4 linked regions of the Xenopus tropicalis genome follow. The protein of the gene in region 4 purifies or fractionates together with the protein of the main gene of each other region. This does not show direct contact. Links are inferred from orthologs where the notes say so. Each region holds a gene or a part of one and is shown on either strand. Other genes may lie near its edges. The genes, in order: cnnm3, cnnm4, cnnm1 and ptp4a1.

Region 1 (4,385 bases), on a different chromosome or scaffold from region 4:
GGGGAAATCTTAACCTTCTGTTCGGCCTCTGCAGTTCTGAAGAAGGACAGCTCTTCCCCACCACGGGGTATTAGTATTGGCTGCACTGGCTGACGCTTCTTCTTGACTTTGCGCTCTGTGGAAGAATTAAAGGTGCAACAAATATCAGCATAGGTGGGTCATGATGACATCTAATATGATCTACATTATAACAGCATGTCTGACCTACAATCAACTCCCAGTTTAAAAAAGTACCGAGCTCTGTTCTCAAGCGCAGCTATAAACAATTCCTATATTTAATATCGGTATAAATGTCTAATCAGATAAATAGGAATCTCCTTACTGCAGTCTTCAGACTCGTCCAAAATTTCTGATTTTATGATCTCTTCTATGACATCTTCGAGGGTTACCAGCCCCATAACTTCATAGAACGGATCTCCTTCTCCCTCGTTATTCACTTTCTGTACAATGGCCATGTGGGACTTGCCTATGAAACCAAGTCACAGAGGCAGAATTACCAGGTGGCATTTAAAACACAGTGACAAAAAAATACAGACAATATATATATATTTTGCCCAAGCTACATAGGCAAACGTTATACAATTATACTTGCATTAAATTCGCTGAATACAATATATGGGATGCTATTGTCATATTTAAGATGTCCCTCAAAGGAGTGGCCAGTGTAAAGGCCACTCAGGGTGACATTTAGGCTAAACACTTACTTGATATCCTAGCTATCCTAATTTTTACAGTTTATTAATATATCTGTACCCTTGTTATGAGTGAAGAACCTAGAGAGGACACACAGGCTTGCTCACATTCTCATACGACTCTTGCATACCACAACCCCTCACCCTTCTTGAACTCCTCCAGCACAGCGTCCAGTTTGGTGTCGCTAAACACAAAGTGGACAGGGTGGCTGTAAAAGCGAGTGATGTAGTTCAGTGGAGTGCAGTCTTGTGGGTCCACAAAAGCCAGGTCCTTGGCATAGAGGATATCCACGATGTTGGAGCGCTCGTTTTCATATACTGGGATGCGGGTATAGCCACTCTCCATGATGCTGGACATGGTGTTGAAGTCTAACAAGGCATCACTGGGAAGCATAAAGCATTCAACCACAGGGGTCAGTATGTCCTCTACTGTCCGATTCCTCAGGGCCCCCTTGCTGAATTCATCTCTTACTAATTCACTGTAAGGGTCCCCACATCGGGCCATTTCCAATATACGGACTCTTTGTCGGCAGCAGCTAGGATCCTGCCCAAATGCTGCCTCCAGAAGCCATGACAGAGGGAATGAGAGGAGCCCAGCGAGGAACATGAAAAAATGGGTAAGCCACAGGCACTTGGGTGCTAGAATGAGCCCCCAGCGAGAACTTACTGCAGCTGGTAGCGCCTCACCAGCCAATAAAAGCAGTCCAGCTGCTGAGAAAATAGCTGCAGGGATTGAACCTATAGCATGGTAAAGAAGAACAGCCACAGCTGAGTTAGTAAGGCAGCAAAGGGCCAACATGGAGATCAGTGTGTACCCACCCCAGCGCGTCCGCAGGGGGTCCAACCGAGTGGCCCCATGTCTTTCACTGGGGGTTCCCCAATCCCGCAACAGGCCAAGCTCTGAGGGTTCTAGGGCCAGAGTGCTGAGCTGCAGCCCCCTGAGCAAGCCAGAGAAAAGGATACACAGGACAATAAGAAGAGCCAGGAGCCAGGAAGCCAAATACTGCCTTGCATTAGTCTCAGGGGGTGCTACAGAGGGAGTTTCATCCCTAAAACTAAGCAGGCGGGAACTGAGGGAGCCCAAAGTACACTGTTGTTCATCTCCTGGCCAGGGGGGCTTCTCTTCCTCCTCATCGCCCCCCAGCACGGTAATGAGTGTGTCTCCGCCGGGGAATGGAGCCCAGCTGTTTCCTTGGCGGGTACAGAGGGGGTACAGGAGGCCTCTGCCCTTACTCTCATTGAGAGCCCGGACAGTGACCAGGCCAGAGTGCTCGCTGCACACTCGGAACTCTTCCAGCAGTTGGAGGGGCGAGTCTGGCTCTGGAGAACATGTCTTGCTTCCGGGGCTGCCAATGGAGACCCAGGGCCAGGTGTCATTTCGCAGCCCCGATCCATAAAGACGGAGGCGGAAGGACGAACCAGGGCGAGCTCTGATCAGCCCGCCGCTCATTGACACGCCAGCTCCCTCCTCCAGCCGTAGCCCTAACACCTGGGCTTCAACGCTGCCATCTTCAAGCGCAAAAGCCACCCCGGTGTCACCGAACCCGGCCAGAAGCAGCAACCCAACCACGGCTACCGCCATGTTGGAAGAGGCAGAACAGCCTCTTCTGTGCCTTTGACAGCTCAACCAATCAGGTGAACGCCGCCGCATTCGCTCAGCCAGTGAGAAGCTCGGTGAATAAGTCGAGCCTATAAAATGGAGGAGGTGCGGCAGAGGGCGGAGCTACACTGTAAGCAACTGTAAACAAGGACAAAAAGCTGTGGAAGATTTAAATCTTTTGTTAGTTCTGCGGCGTTCAACGGCTCCACTTCTCCTCAGGAACTGGGCCCCTCGGGCACTGTGACCTGTCCCTCTTAGGCACAGTAATACGATAGCTTACAGTGAACGTCAGCCCCTCCCACCGTACTCCTACTAAACCTTTAGCATTATGGGTGTTGTAGTTTCTCATGTCTGCTCACGAATACACCCTAAATCTCAGATTTCACTGCCTCTCTCACCTCCAGAAGCTAATCCTATAAGGAGCATATGAGCCTGCATAAGGTTGAAGTCTATATAAAGATCAATACAAAATCTTAATATAACATACCTTTCACATGCACTGATAAACCATTTCCTACACTGTTCTATATAAAGCAATGGCTGAATCTCATACTTTAACCAGGGGCCCCATTTAGTAGCCTAACAACAAACCCCATAAGCACCATAATTCCCCCAGGACAGCCCTGCTCAGCTGCCATAACTGGGTGCATGGGCATTCCAAGCAAGGAACGTTTTGTTTGTCAGCAATGGGTGACAGAGAGCAGAAGTCGAGCGCCCAATCACACGGCCACAGTGGGGGAGCAGGGCTGCCCCAGGGAGTTTCTTTGCTGTTGTTGGGAAATTAAGGGGGGGGGGGCAATAGAGGGCTTCTCCAATGTAAATGTCAAAAAGCACACAAACCCATTAAATAATAAACTCTTTAATAATTAAACAATTTAGAATATACAGCCATCCAAAAATCGTACCATTCTTTCCATCTGTAAAAGGCAAAAAAAAAAAAGGGAAAAACCAAAAATAAATAAATATTTGCAAACAATTCCCTTATTTGTGCAGAAAGCCCCCCCCCCCCCCCCCCCCAATAGTACAGAGTGTTATTTCCCAATCCCTGATTAGGAGGGCCCAGCCTGCCACCCTACACACAGCAGCTGCTGCTGACCCTAAAGCAAAACACATCTATGGCTTGTGCAGATACTGTATTCAGCACTTATTTAGCAGGCAAAAGGTCTTTTATGGAAACCAAAAAAAAGATAGAGCAGGTAAAAAGGAGGTCAGTTTCATCCAAAAAATGCAAGTTTAACTTGTTGGAACCTGCACGGCAATCAGAGGGGATGTGTGTTTACGACAGGAATTCCCAGGAACCGAGACTGAATACTTGTGCAATACTAGAAGTTCTTTGTTCACTTTTTTCCTTCAAGCAACAGCAGGTCATTAGATAAGGCCAATACGCCTATGGTTGAGAGGATACAAGTACAAAGGGAACATGGGTATCCATACAAAAAAAAAAAATTGTGAAATCTTAGTACATTAAAGGGGAACTCTCTCAATAGTTATATGTAATAAACTACAGCTTACTAAAACAAGGAACATTTGTAAATTTAATGAAAAATTCATAGTAGTATGTAAGTCTTAGTTCCCCTTATGCCTCTTTCAGGAGCCCTTCTTCTGCAGGACAGGAAATTTATTGTAAAATAAATGACAATATTCACTGATTGCTTGTTGGCCAATCATGTTCACCTTGCTCTCAAACAGTTAGGCCTAGTGCTTGCCTTCTCTCATGCGCATTCAGTTACACTGTTACAGGTAGCGCACAGCCCCCTAAATCTTAAACAGGACAGTTCACCTTTAACTTTCAGTAGGTTGGACAATTCACAATGTCCCATATTTTTTTTTTTTTTTAATTGATTTAGAGTATTGTTCTTTCTATTTTTTTCCCCTTTTCTATTCATTTTCCAATTGTCAAGGTAAATCGGCCCTAGCAACCAGATAGCTGAAATGCTAAACTGTTGCTGAACAAAAAGATGACCAATTGCAAATGACCTCAGATAACCACTGTCTACACTGTCACACTAAAAGTTAATTTAAAGGTAAGCTACCCCTTGAACACGAAACCCCTCAATCTGGAGACAGGAACAAGGTGATTACAATTTGCCAAA
Region 2 (3,819 bases), on a different chromosome or scaffold from region 4:
GCAGCTTATTTATATAAATTATAGTAGGGTTTCTGTAGCAAACACCCCAGCTGTACCAGTGCAGGAATGGCTGCCCCCGGGGCTACACAGCGGGGTATTTATATAAACTATAGTAGGGTTTCTGTAGCAAACACCCCAGCTGTACCAGTGCAGGAACGGCTGCCCCCGGGGCTACACAGCGGGGTATTTATATAAACTATAGTAGGGTTTCTGTAGCAAACACCCCAGCTGTACCAGTGCAGGAACGGCTGCCCCCATATTACACGGCAGCTTATTTATATAAATCAGGGGTGTCGAACTCAATCAGAGAAGGGGCCAAAATCTAAAATCCAGCCTAAATCGCGGGCCGAATGGTTTACTGAACAGTGCCCCCAAAAATAAGTACCCCCAATTGCCTCATCATACACAGTACCCCCCCATAGACAGTAGCCCCCACACACAGTGCCCCCAATTGCCTCATACACAGTACCCCTCCATAGACAGTAGCCCCCACACACAGTGCCCCCAATTGCCCCCATAGAAAGTACCCCCAATTGCCCCCATAGAAAGTACCCCCAATTGCCCCCATAGAAAGTACCCCCAATTGCCCCCATAAACAGTGCCCCCAATTGCCCCCATAAACAGTACCCTCCATAGACAGTAGCCCCCACACACACTGCCCCCAATTGCCTCATACACAGTACCCCCCATAGACAGTAGCCCCCACACACAGTGCCCCCATAGAAAGTACCCCCAATTGCCCCCATAAACAGTGCCCCCAATTGCCTCATACACAGTACCCCCCATAGACAGTAGCCCCCACACACACTGCCCCCAATTGCCTCATACACAGTACCCCCCATAGACAGTAGCCCCCACACACAGTGCCCCCATACAAAGTACCCCCATACAAAGTACCCCCAATTGCCCCCATAAACAGTGCCCCCAAAAATAAGTACCCCCAATTGCCTCATCATACACAGTACCCCCCATAGACAGTAGCCAGCCCGCACACACAGAGCCCCCACAGAAAGTACCCCCAACAGACCAGTGATGTTGGCGGCTCCTTCTCTCTTATGCCGCGGCAACAGGCACTACTATAAGGTTGCGCCTCGTCACTGATGTGTGACGTCATACGCACGGGCGCAACCTTATAAAAGGGCCTGTTGCCGCGGCATAAGAGAGAAGGAGCCGCTGGCGCTGACGAAGAAGGTATGTTTTTGCGCGTGCGTGCAGTGATGACAGCGCAGTGCGGGCCACATTGCAAGGCCTGGCGGGCCGGATTTGGCCCGCGGGCCTTGTGTTTGACATGTATGATATAAATTATAGGAGATTTTCTGAAGTAAACACACAGTGCAGGGCAGCAGCACATTATATTTGTTACTTTTATACACTTTCATTTTTTGGTTACTGTTCCTTTAAACTATTGACTATCCATTCCCTTCACGTATACAAGTATTTCTAGTCCTGCAAATTTTTTTTACTTAATTAGTTATCGGTGAGAGTTAGCATACCTCCCAACATTTGAAAAGCAGAAAGAGGGACAAAAATATATTTTAGGCCATGCCCACTTTATGGCCACGCCCCCCAACAGGACCATTTTACAAAACCACACGCGAAAAGTATAAAATACACAAAAGCGCACCAGAAGACAGACACAGTAGCCCCAATCATTTTATGACATATTGTGGACCCAAGGATTTCATTATGCACTGTGGCACCTGTATATTATGACTCATGAAAGACATAGCTAGCCAGGGCCCCCTAAAACATTGGTCGTCAGGGCCCCCCTAAAACATTGCTAGCCAGGTTTTATGTTTTGCATTGGTGCCAGAGCATGGGCCCCCTAAAACATTGCTAGCCAAGCCAGCCCAGAGCCTCCTAAAACATTGCTGGTCCTCCCCCAGTATCCCCATACTATGGGCCACTTCCCACTGGAGCATCCTCCCCAACTTCCTACAGTTCCCCCCCCATCATCCGCCAGCTCCCCCCATCATCCTCCCAACATCCTCCAGCTCCCCCCAACATCCTCCAGCTCCACCAGCATCCTCCCAACATCCTCTAAACTCCCCAGCATCCTCCAGCTCCATCCAGCATCCACCCAACATCCTCCAGCTCCCCCCAGTGTCCTCCCCAACATCCTTGAGCTCCCCCCAGCATCCTCCCAACATCCTCCAGCTCCCCCCAGCATCCACCCAAAATCCTCCAGCTCCCCCCAGCAGCATCCCCCCAACATCCTCTAAACTCCCCAGCATCCTCCAGCTCCCCCCAGCATCCACGCAACATCCTCCAGCTCCCCCCAGTGTTCTCCCCAACATCCTCCAGCTCCCCCCAGCATCCACCCAAAATCCTCCCCATCGTCCCCCAGCTGCCCCTTACCTTAGTTTCTCCAGCTGCCTCCCAGCGTCCTCCAGCTGCCCCTTACCTTCCTCCAGCTGCCTCCCAGTGTCCTCCAGCTGCCCCTTACCTTCCCTCCCACTGCTCCTACCACCCCCCGCCCGCTTGCCCCGGCTCTTCTTCTCCTCCCCGTGACGTCACACGCATCTTTCGTTAGCCCCGCAGCTTCTGCACAGTGAATCCCTAAATGTTAGAACTGACCAGTGCGGCGCAGAAGCTGCAGCGCTAACGAACGACGTGTGTGACGTCACGGGAGAATTTTAAAATCGGGACAATTCGGTGGCTGTCCGGGACAGCGGGACAGAGAGGCAAAATTGGGACTGTCCCGTGTAAAGCGGGACAGTTGGGAGGTATGGAGTTAGGCTAGGTTCCCAGTGGGCATTGTGTTCCCTGTAACAGAGGAACACGACGCAGTGGAGCTGCCGCACCGTAACTGTGCGTTACGCCCCATTTAGTGAAGCATACAGCCAATGAAAAGCTTCATGGTCACGTGTTCGTTTATGCACTGCATGCATTGGGCTTTATTCTTATAGCAGAGAAGTAATTAATTATGACTGTTTGTGAATTGGGACATTTAAACTTGCTTTTTATTTATTTATTTTTTTTATTCCCATTTAAATTTAGTAGGAGTCGGAGTCGGTTCATTTTTTTCCGACTCCAGGTACCCAAAATTGACTCCGACTCCACAGCCCTGCAATTTAACCTAGCAACCAGGCAGTGGGTTGAAGAAGAGAAAGGAATATAAACAGGAGAGGGCCTAAATATAAAGATGTGTATTAAAAAGTAATACTACAGTAATAATAGTAATAATACAGAGCAATAGTTTTTTTGGCTGCCAGGGTCAGTGACTCATGTTTGAAAGCTTGCAAATAATTCAATAACTACATTTATATATACATTTTATATTTAATACTAATATTAATTGCCTGTTTCCCCTGGTACTTACCTGCCTCACTAAACACTTTGTATTGCTTTTCAGCACTGATGCAGATTTTAAATGTATCCATTACTTTTTTTTTTTTAGGGGAAAGTTGAAGTAGAAGCTGGCAAAGAGAACATGAAGTTTGAATCGGGAGCCTTCTCCTACTATGGTGTCATGGCCATAAACACTCCATCAGCTGCTGGTAAGACCTTGCCCCAGTTTTATGTTCCAAACATTGGTGCCACAGCACACATGTCTGTTCCAGAGCGAAGTCACCCACCCCAATTTATTTTCTTCCATTCTATTCAGCTCCTGCCCATCCCTGTACCGTCCTTAAAAGGGGTTCTCTCTTTTCCAGGTTAGCAGGTAAATGAGAAGCCTGCATGTGTGTGTATTGGGTGTGCATGATATTCACACACACAAGTGGCCTAAGACATAGGTGGGGTGGGCGGTTGCTTAATACAAGTTTTGACAGTTAATAGTTTCAGACCCTTTATGATAAAGCATGGTTTGTGCTCATA
Region 3 (4,271 bases), on a different chromosome or scaffold from region 4:
CTGTGGTGCAACTGCAGCCCTGTGGGCCCTGGGACTATGGCCGCACTCTACTTGAAAACTAGAAGCACAGCACAATCTTGTATAAGATTGCAACTCTTTCCCCATGTTGTTGACTGAGCACACCATGTTAATTATGCCACAAAACAACCTATACCAGTCATGGGACTGAGCACCCCATTTTAGTCATGCCAAAGAGCAACCTATGTCAGTCATGGGACTGAGCACCCTATTTTAGTCATGCCAAAGAGCAACCTATGTCAGTCCTGGGACTGAGCACCCCATTTTAGTCATGCCAAAGAGCAACCTATGTCAGTCATGGGACTGAGCACCCCATTTTAGTCATGCCAAAGAGCAACCTATGTCAGTCATGGGACTGAGCACCCCATTTTAGTCATGCCAAAGAGCAACCTATGTCAGTCCTGGGACTGAGCACCCCATTTTAGTCATGCCAAAGAGCAACCTATACCAGTCATGGGACTGAGCACCCCATTTTAGTCATGCCAAAGAGCAACCTATGTCAGTCCTGGGACTGAGCACCCCATTTTAGTCATGCCAAAGAGCAACCTATGTCAGTCATGGGACTGAGCACCCTATTTTAGTCATACCAAAGAGCAACATATGTCAGTCCTGGAACTGAGCACCCCATTTTAGTCATGGCAAAGAGCAACCTATGTCAGTCATGGGACTGAGCACCCCATTTTAGTCATGCCAAAGAGCAACCTATGTCAGTCATGGGACTGAGCACCCCATTTTAGTCATGCCAAAGAGCAACCTGTGTCAGTCATGGGACTGAGCACCCCATTTTAGTCATGCCAAAGAGCAACCTGTGTCAGTCATGGGACTGAGCACCCCATTTTAGTCATGCCAAAGAGCAACCTGTGTCAGTCCTGGGACTGAGCACCCCATTTTAGTCATGCCAAAGAGCAACCTATGTCAGTCCTGGGACTGAGCACCCCATTTTAGTCATGCCAAAGAGCAACCTATGTCAGTCCTGGGACTGAGCACCCATTTTAGTCATGGCAAAGAGCAACCTATGTCAGTCATGGGACTGAGCACCCCATTTTAGTGATGCCACCGAGCAGGAAGTAGTTTATACTATACAAGACTATATATTTCTGACAGTCTCCTGTATAGCCAGTCAAGGACATTTTACCTTGCGCAATGCATTTTTCTGCAAACTTCTAAGCAGCTCTTCACTTATTTAAGGCCATGAATATAATGCGCCGCGGGTATTCCTTCAAGCTCAGACTGCTACCCCTCAGTGTCTCCCCTCAGTGTCCCCCCTCAGTAACCCGTCTCCGCTTCGCCACAGGCGTCCCACCTCAGGGCAATGGAGCAATAGAAAGCCTGGCTTGGCGCTACTGCCGATCACGTGTGTCCCTCCCCGTTTCGCGCAACCTGTCACACTGTCACGATGGCGGAGGCCGTCGGCGGCCGCTACGGGTCCGGGGCAGTGTTTCTCCTTTTCATATCCCTCTCTCCCCGGCCAGTTTCCCTGTGGCTGCTAGGGCTTAGGCCAGAGGATACAGTAGGCGGACATGTTACCCTAGAAGGTGGTACCCTGAGGGCATCCGAGGGAAGCCGCTTTACACTCCGTGTGTATTTCCAGCCGCCTCTGCCGGCGCAGCAACTACAGCCCCCGCACCTATACAATACCCCGACATCGGAAAACGCGAGCAGCCCCAGACTGGTGTTTATCGAGGAACCCCGGTCCCATGGCTCCGATCCGTGCCAGGACGAGGGAACATGGGCCTCGGACGTTGAAGTGATGGGCCCGCTACAGCCCTCCCCTGCCCTGGTGGGCTCTGCGGTGGTGGAAGTGCGGGTGAGGGAGCTGAGGAAGGGCGAGCGGGGGAAGCTTTTCTCCCTTTGCGCCTTTGACGGGAGGCGATGGGAACATCACGCCGGAGCCCACTTTGCCCTGGAGGTGCGAGAGGCTGAGGCAGGGCTGCCGGTCTGGCTCCGGCTATTGGTGTCCCTTGTCCTGCTGAGCTTCTCCGCTCTGTTCTGCGGCCTCCGCCTCAGTCTCCTGTCTCTGGACCCGGTAGAGCTGCGGGTGCTGCAGAACAGTGGCTCTCCCGCGGAGAAGGAACACGCCCGCAGGGTCCAGTCTGTGCGCAGCAGCGGCTCCTACCTGCTCTGCACCCTTCTGCTCGGACACGTACTAGCCAATGCCTCCCTGGCCGGCTGGCTGTGCTCTTCCCTGCCTCCCACACCCGCCGGGAATTGGCTACCGGTTTTGGTGTGCACCGCCTGCGTTTTCCTATGCGGCGAAGTGGCCCCCTACTCTGTGTGCTCCCGCCATGGCCTGGCTATCGCCTCCCGCACCGTGTGGCTGACTCGGTTACTCATGGCAGTCGCCTTCCCCGTGTGCTTCCCCCTTAGCCGCTTGCTGGACTGGGCCCTGCGGCAGGAGATCAGCACCTTCTATACCCGCGAAAAGCTTTTGGAGACCCTCCGAGCTGCCGACCCCTATAACGATCTGGTGAAGGAGGAACTGAACATCATCCAGGGGGCCCTGGAGCTGAGGAGTAAGGCGGTGGAAGATGTGTTCACCCCGCTGGGGGACTGCTTCATGCTGCGTTCGGACGCGGTGCTCGACTTCAGCACGGTCTCCGAGATTCTCCGCAGCGGCTACACCCGCATCCCAGTGTACGAGGGGAAAGATCGCTCCAACATAGTTGACATCTTGTTTGTCAAAGACTTGGCGTTTGTGGACCCGGATGACTGCACCCCTCTGCAGACTGTCACTCGCTTCTACCATCGGCCCCTGCACTGCGTCTTCAACGACACCAAGCTGGACGCTGTGCTGGAGGAGTTTAAGAAGGGTGAGCTCTGCTTGGTGCCATGGGTTCCCTCAGTGTCGGACTGGGAACCCAGGGGCCCACCAGATAACTATTGACCCTAGGCCCCTAAATATTTTCCCTCCTTTCCTCACCCAACCTTTTTATTCTCCCAGTCTCTTTTATTTACTTGCTAGCATCTATTCTTCCATCTATTTCTCCTCTTTCTTCCCATACAGAAATAGGGAATGACCATGAAGCAGGCCAAATGGTCAGGAGCAGGAGGGCCCACTGACACCGGGCGCACCGGGAGTTTTCCTGGTATCCTGGTGGGCCAGTCCAACACTGGGTGCCCAAGAGTTCTGTAGCTTAGGGCAAGGCTCCCCAACCTTATTTACCTGTGAGCCACATTTAGATACATAAAGAGATGGGGAGCAACACAAGCCAGGGGTGTAATTAGGTCCAGTGCTGCCATAGGCACCAAACATAAATACGCCCCTACATTGTGCGCATGACATCATGGGCAGCGTGCTTGTAACATCACACGCATCCTTGTCGTGCGCGTGACGTCATGAGCAATCACATGCGACGATGTTGCAGAAGTGATGTCACACTCAGTGTGCGCTTGTAGTCGCTTCCACAGAGCCCGCGACCCCCTATCCTATCACCCCCCAGCTCCGTCGCCAAATTTCCTATTGAAATCTGCAGTGAAGGCTGTGGGGCCCTTTTCTTTTTAAATAAAAAAAGAAAACATAGGCACCTGCCCCCATACATAGGGCCTTTTTATAAATACACCCCTGACAAGCATAAAAACTTTCCTGGGGGTGCCATTTAAAGGAGAAGGAAAGGCTAAGTCACTTGGGGGTGCTAAAATGTTAAGCGCCCCCAAGTGACTTTAATCGCTTACCTTGTACCCCGGGCTGGTGCCCTTGTTAGGAGAAAACAGCCCTGGAGCGGGCGCTTCCTCCTTCCGGCTTCGTTTCGCTGCAACTAACACAATAGGTGCATGCGCAGTAGAGTGAAAAAGCCGACTTCTCTGTTAAAGTTCAACTCTTCACTCTACTGCGCATGCGCGCGCGGCGAGACAGGAAGGAGGAAGCGCTCGCTGCTACCTTGGGCTGGTGCTGTTCTCTCTGAACAGTGGCACCAGCCCGGGGTACAAGGTAAGCGATTCAAGTCACTTGGGGGTGCCTATCATTTTGGCACCCCCAAAGTGACTTTGCCTTTTCTTCTCCTTTAAGGGCTGATATTGTCTATTTGGTAACCCCTATATGGACTGGCAGCCTTTAGGAGGCTCTGTTTGGCATTGCACCAGGTTTTTATGCAACCAAAACTTGCCTCAAACCCAGAAATTCAAAAATAAGCATCTGCTTTAAGGCCACTGGGAGTAACATCCAAGGGGTTGGTGAGCAACATGTTGCTCCCAAGCCACTGGTTGGGAATCACTGGCCTAGATTCTTGTCAAGAACCCTACTATCCAGCTTCCAG
Region 4 (4,616 bases):
GAACCTGCCAAGGCCAGCAACACAATGAACGGCTATACAGCAACCAGGCTCTTCACGGAATTTCATTTTCAGGAGGTTTAACCAATCATCTACAATCTGATTGGATGGAGGTGCACCATCATCAAATGGCCAATCCTACAAAACAAACATGCAATGAGGATTTGATAGGATTTGTAGTGCTAGAAAGTATAAACCTATGCTTGGGTTAAAGAGGGCAGAAGACCTGGCTGTTTACTTCAGATGTTCAACAGAAAAAAAAAAAAAAAAAATAGGTATAAACCACATACTGGCTCATTTGAAATATTTATTTGTAAAAAGCACACACTCATGAACAGTTCTTGGTCTGCCTGCTTTTTGAGGCATGGGGCACTGCCCATTTTTCAGCAGATGTCAAAAATGCTGGCAGAGGAACACACCACTTAACATCTGCGCAACCAGCAGGCAAGGAAATGGATGGGTCTTGTAACACCATTCTGCCCTCATACCATGAAGGGGACACCTTTTCACTTTTGCAACAAGTATGTGCTGCAGTTTGATTTCACTATGATGTTTGTTTAAAGCCTAGGCAAGGGGTCATGTGACTGCTTAGCACCCGACTGAAAAGGTCATGGCAAGGTGGTAGAGGCACACACCAATCGAGTGAGTACTCATACCATGAAGCGACCTGAAAGCTTTTATGGATCCTGATGTCATTTTCTGCAGTAACTTATCAATGTTGCTCTCCCATGCAGAAAACAGACTACAAGTGTATTGTATCTTATGCAGCATGGAGGGTCTGCATTGTGGGGAATATAACCCTATGTATTATTTTGAGCATCATTTTCCTATAAGTAGCTGGGAGGTTACTGTATAGTGGGTTGCTTTTAAGCTATCAGTTATTAGTAATTTTAGCCAATGTTATAAATCTGTGAACATGAAAGCATGATCAAGTAGCTTACATAAAACCACCTGATAGGTGTCAGTTATAACCTTTTTAAACATCATTTAAAATTAGTGCCTCACCCAGAGGAGCTTACAGGTAGCCATAAAAAAATCATTTCAGTCCAGGTCATGTTATACTATAGAAACCCAGTACAGTAGCGTCAATGCATTTATGTGTGGGATGAGTTGCTGATCTAGTCCTGTATTTCTAAATAAGTAAGCCCATCTAAAATCTGAGTTATCATCACTCATAATTGCAAACTGCTTATGCAATGCCAACTTTGAAATATCAAATAATTACATAAGATAACTCAGTTTTCCTTTACTTAAAGGAGGAGGAAATGTAAAAATTACTGGCAGGTACCAAATGTTAAGCACTGTTAATCACTATTACAATCAGTGATTGTAATTGCTTACAGGGCTTGTGCTCCTGTTAGGAGATAACCACACCACCCCGGGGTAGTGTTCCTCTTACTACTTCTCTTTGCGCCACTTGCACAGTAAAGTGAAAAGCCAAACCTAAACAAAAAAGGTTGGTATTTTCATTCTGCTACACATGTGTCAGCCTTGGGATTCATAATGAAGAGACACGGAAGAGGATCACTCGCTCACAGCTACTCCAGTCTGGTGCCGTTTTCTCCTAACAGGAGCACCAGCCCAAAGTAAAAGGTAAGTGATCAGAATCACCTAACATTTGGCACCCCCAGTGATTTTTAACTGTCAAACACTACCCTATCACATACAAATTAGGGCTACAGCACATCAGGCATTTTCTCCATGAGTGTATTTCAGTCATCAAAATAGTGCCTTAACACTTTGAAATTTACTCACCAAAACTTGAATTCCTTCCTTTTCGACTAGAGCAGTATCATAAGTGGCTTCACACACTCTTACTAATGTTGTAACACCATATTTTTTAAGCTCCTATAAGAGATTTGTGAGAAAACAGCATTAATGTTGGACTTTCTTAAAAGGTGCATTTATTTCAAGATCATGGCCTATAACCTATACTAGCAATCCTTCACCCACATCTCATTTAAAAACATGGTTCTATTGGGTAGAACCATGTAACTGCAATGAAACACAATACCCATGACAAAACCAATACTTGTGTATTTATTTTTGGTTTCTAGTAAGTACAATATTACTGCTTTCATTCATTAACTGGATAGCCACAAGCATTTGAGGCTTATGTGATAAACTGCAATAACACAATGGCATGACACAAACAAGCCAATTAGCAAGTGCTTTCACAAAAAGCAGGCTTATCAATTTAAGAAATAGTATTCTCTCCTTTATAAATGACAGAATTAACTAAAACTCAAACTGTTAAAGGCAGAGAAGTCTATATAAAAGGTGTTTTTGTGAGAACCAGTACTATATAAAATTAAAGCTAAAAATAAATTCAATTTACTTTTTACTGAGGTATATTACTGCTGCATTATGTTTAAAAGGATAAGTAAGACTTATCAAAATCTTTTTAAAAGACTTCATATAGCCCCAAAATAACATCCCTTTCTTCTTGCACTCCGTTTCAGCTCTCAGCTACCTTCTAGTCGAGCATAAAGCTCTTTGCTGGGCTTTTTTCTGAGTGTAAAAACAGTTGAAGGTGTCTACTGCACATGCCTGATTGATTTCGATTGAAGCAGAGGCAGCAAGAACGTGCCGCAGACACTTCTTTGAGCATCTCCATTCAGAGAGGAGGATAGTTCAGAAAAGAGGTAGGAACTTCAGCTCTCTGCTGCTTCCTAGTCTAGTGTGAAGTTGAGAGGCTTGTGATACAGAATTTACATGAGAATGCAGCGATAAAGGCATGTTATTCTGGTAACATTTTAAGAGTCATTTTAGAGAGAAAAAACAGTTTCATTATTCTTTAACTTCCCATTTTACAGCAAAGTTCACTTAGTCTTACCTCTATAAACTTGTTTAGAGTTGCATTGGTGGGGTTGTGTGTTATGAGGAATCTCATGTTCTTGTAGGTTATCTCCACTGGAGCTGGGCGGTTCATTCTGGCCATTTTAAATTAGTAAAAAATGTGCACGGTTTAAAAAAGGAAGAGTGTTTGGGGGCAACTAAAAGTTAATCAAAAGAAATTATGCTTGTAGCTGAAGTCAACTTCACTCTACTCCACGGGAAAATTCTCAGTGCTTGCTTGGATGGAAGCAATGGAAGCGAAATGGACCTCCGTATGAGAAGCAGCAAATCTTCAAATCAGTAATACTGAGGCAAAAGAAATGCAGTGCACTGAGGTTTACCCCATCCAGATTTCAGCCCCTTAAGCAAAGTGCTCAATCAAATTCAGTTTTAATCCAACACTTCTTGTACAGGCCGACTGCTCTTAGGGGGGTTTCTTGGTGGAGTAGTAATGAATTTCTTCTACAGTTCACTTGTCAGCATAGAGCTCATGCTGTGCCTGGCAGTAGTCTCCACTGCCCTTCAGAAACTCCATAAATGTGTGACCAAGAACACCACAGAACTGCTGTTGAAAAAGAGGGGGAAACAATGCTCTTTTAATATGCTGAAAGTTTTCATAAAAGCTAGCACAGCCATAAACCTAAGTGGCATATATTTACGCCCCATATCATTGTTCATGCATAAAAAGACAATATATAAAATATTAACTGAAAATACACAATTTAAATATTGCTTCATTATGCAAAACTTTTTGCCTGTTATTGAAGAGATAAAGCCACATTGTTCACACATTTCACACAAGGCATATGAACTCAGTTTAGTGCAAAATGTGGCAGTAACGTGATAAGCCTAAAAACTTATCAGTACTGATGGGCAAATCAGTCTTTACACCAAAACTTCGCTAAACACATGAAGTCAATAGGCGCCTTTTTGTGTTGAATTTTTCATGCATTTTTTTTCCTTACAATCCATTGTCTATGCGCATTTTTTTTCCTTACAATCCATTGTCTATGCATTTTTTTTTTTGCAGAAAAACCTGGTGAAAAGTTTTACCCACTGCTACTTATGAGACAAAAAGAATATTCTGGCTGATAGAACAGACACACAGCTACAGTTTTAGGACAGTAGGGCTGGGCGATATGCCGTTTAATACCGAATACCTTTTTTTTTTTTTTAAAAACTATATTCATTTTTCAGATACCGCAATACCGGGGTGTCAGGGTACTCACCCGTGCGGCCCAGTCTCGCACGCCTCCTTGCGTGGGCATCCCGTTGTCCGCGGGACGTTGCGCACGCGTGTCAAAGCGCACATACATGTCAAAGCGGCCACGTCCGCGACGCGCCGGTTCTGTGCATGCGTGGGGGGTATTTAAAGCTATCAAACTTTCTGTTGCCGATCCTTCGCTTGCCTGACTCTGATTTTCAATACTGCAGTAATTATTCTCTAATTTATTAGGAAATGGGGTTAACACCTAATCATGCATGGAAAAAAAATACCGTCAAATACCGTGACACCGATATAATTTTGAAAAATACTGTGATATAAATTTTTGGTCATACCGCCCAGCTCTACCCGACAGCCCTGATCAGTGCCAATTGTTGAAAAATTCTTCTAACACAATCTATATTCCAAGAGGACAGAACAGAGCACCAATCGGGGCATCCTTTTATCAAAAGGCAATTTAATTGCTGAGCAATTATTAGAGTAAATGCTTAATGGAATGTACCAGCATATATCAACTGACCAGATCTGTGTTTATCTCCCTGTGCAGTGGCATAAC

What was found.
Region 1: the proteins of ptp4a1 (region 4) and cnnm3 purify together in Homo sapiens (affinity purification with mass spectrometry; 6 studies listed by BioGRID and IntAct, with this or other methods). This does not show direct contact. The link is inferred for Xenopus tropicalis from reciprocal best matches to the Homo sapiens genes PTP4A1 and CNNM3.
Region 2: the proteins of ptp4a1 (region 4) and cnnm4 purify together in Homo sapiens (affinity purification with mass spectrometry; 6 studies listed by BioGRID and IntAct, with this or other methods). This does not show direct contact. The link is inferred for Xenopus tropicalis from reciprocal best matches to the Homo sapiens genes PTP4A1 and CNNM4.
Region 3: the proteins of ptp4a1 (region 4) and cnnm1 purify together in Homo sapiens (affinity purification with mass spectrometry; 4 studies listed by BioGRID and IntAct, with this or other methods). This does not show direct contact. The link is inferred for Xenopus tropicalis from reciprocal best matches to the Homo sapiens genes PTP4A1 and CNNM1.

Annotation. Positions count from the first base shown.
Region 1 is NC_030679.2:125,259,697-125,264,081, reverse strand, and holds the start of cnnm3 (metal transporter CNNM3), read right to left. Parts: upstream 2,939-4,385; 5' UTR 2,344-2,938; coding exon 837-2,343; intron 467-836; coding exon 323-466; intron 116-322; coding exon 1-115. UniProt on the Homo sapiens protein: Probable metal transporter.
Region 2 is NC_030679.2:125,249,241-125,253,059, forward strand, and holds part of cnnm4 (metal transporter CNNM4 precursor), read left to right. Parts: intron 1-3,400; coding exon 3,401-3,500; intron 3,501-3,607; coding exon of another isoform or gene 3,608-3,672; exon of another isoform or gene 3,673-3,710; intron 3,711-3,819. UniProt on the Homo sapiens protein: Probable metal transporter. The interaction with the metal ion chaperone COX11 suggests that it may play a role in sensory neuron functions. May play a role in biomineralization and retinal function.
Region 3 is NC_030683.2:35,150,658-35,154,928, forward strand, and holds the start of cnnm1 (metal transporter CNNM1), read left to right. Parts: upstream 1-1,289; 5' UTR 1,290-1,414; coding exon 1,415-2,828; intron 2,829-4,271. UniProt on the Homo sapiens protein: Probable metal transporter.
Region 4 is NC_030681.2:94,857,757-94,862,372, forward strand, and holds the start of ptp4a1 (protein tyrosine phosphatase type IVA 1), read right to left. Parts: upstream 3,100-4,616; 5' UTR 2,939-3,099; coding exon 2,834-2,938; intron 1,846-2,833; coding exon 1,753-1,845; intron 136-1,752; coding exon 5-135; intron 1-4. UniProt on the Homo sapiens protein: Protein tyrosine phosphatase which stimulates progression from G1 into S phase during mitosis. May play a role in the development and maintenance of differentiating epithelial tissues.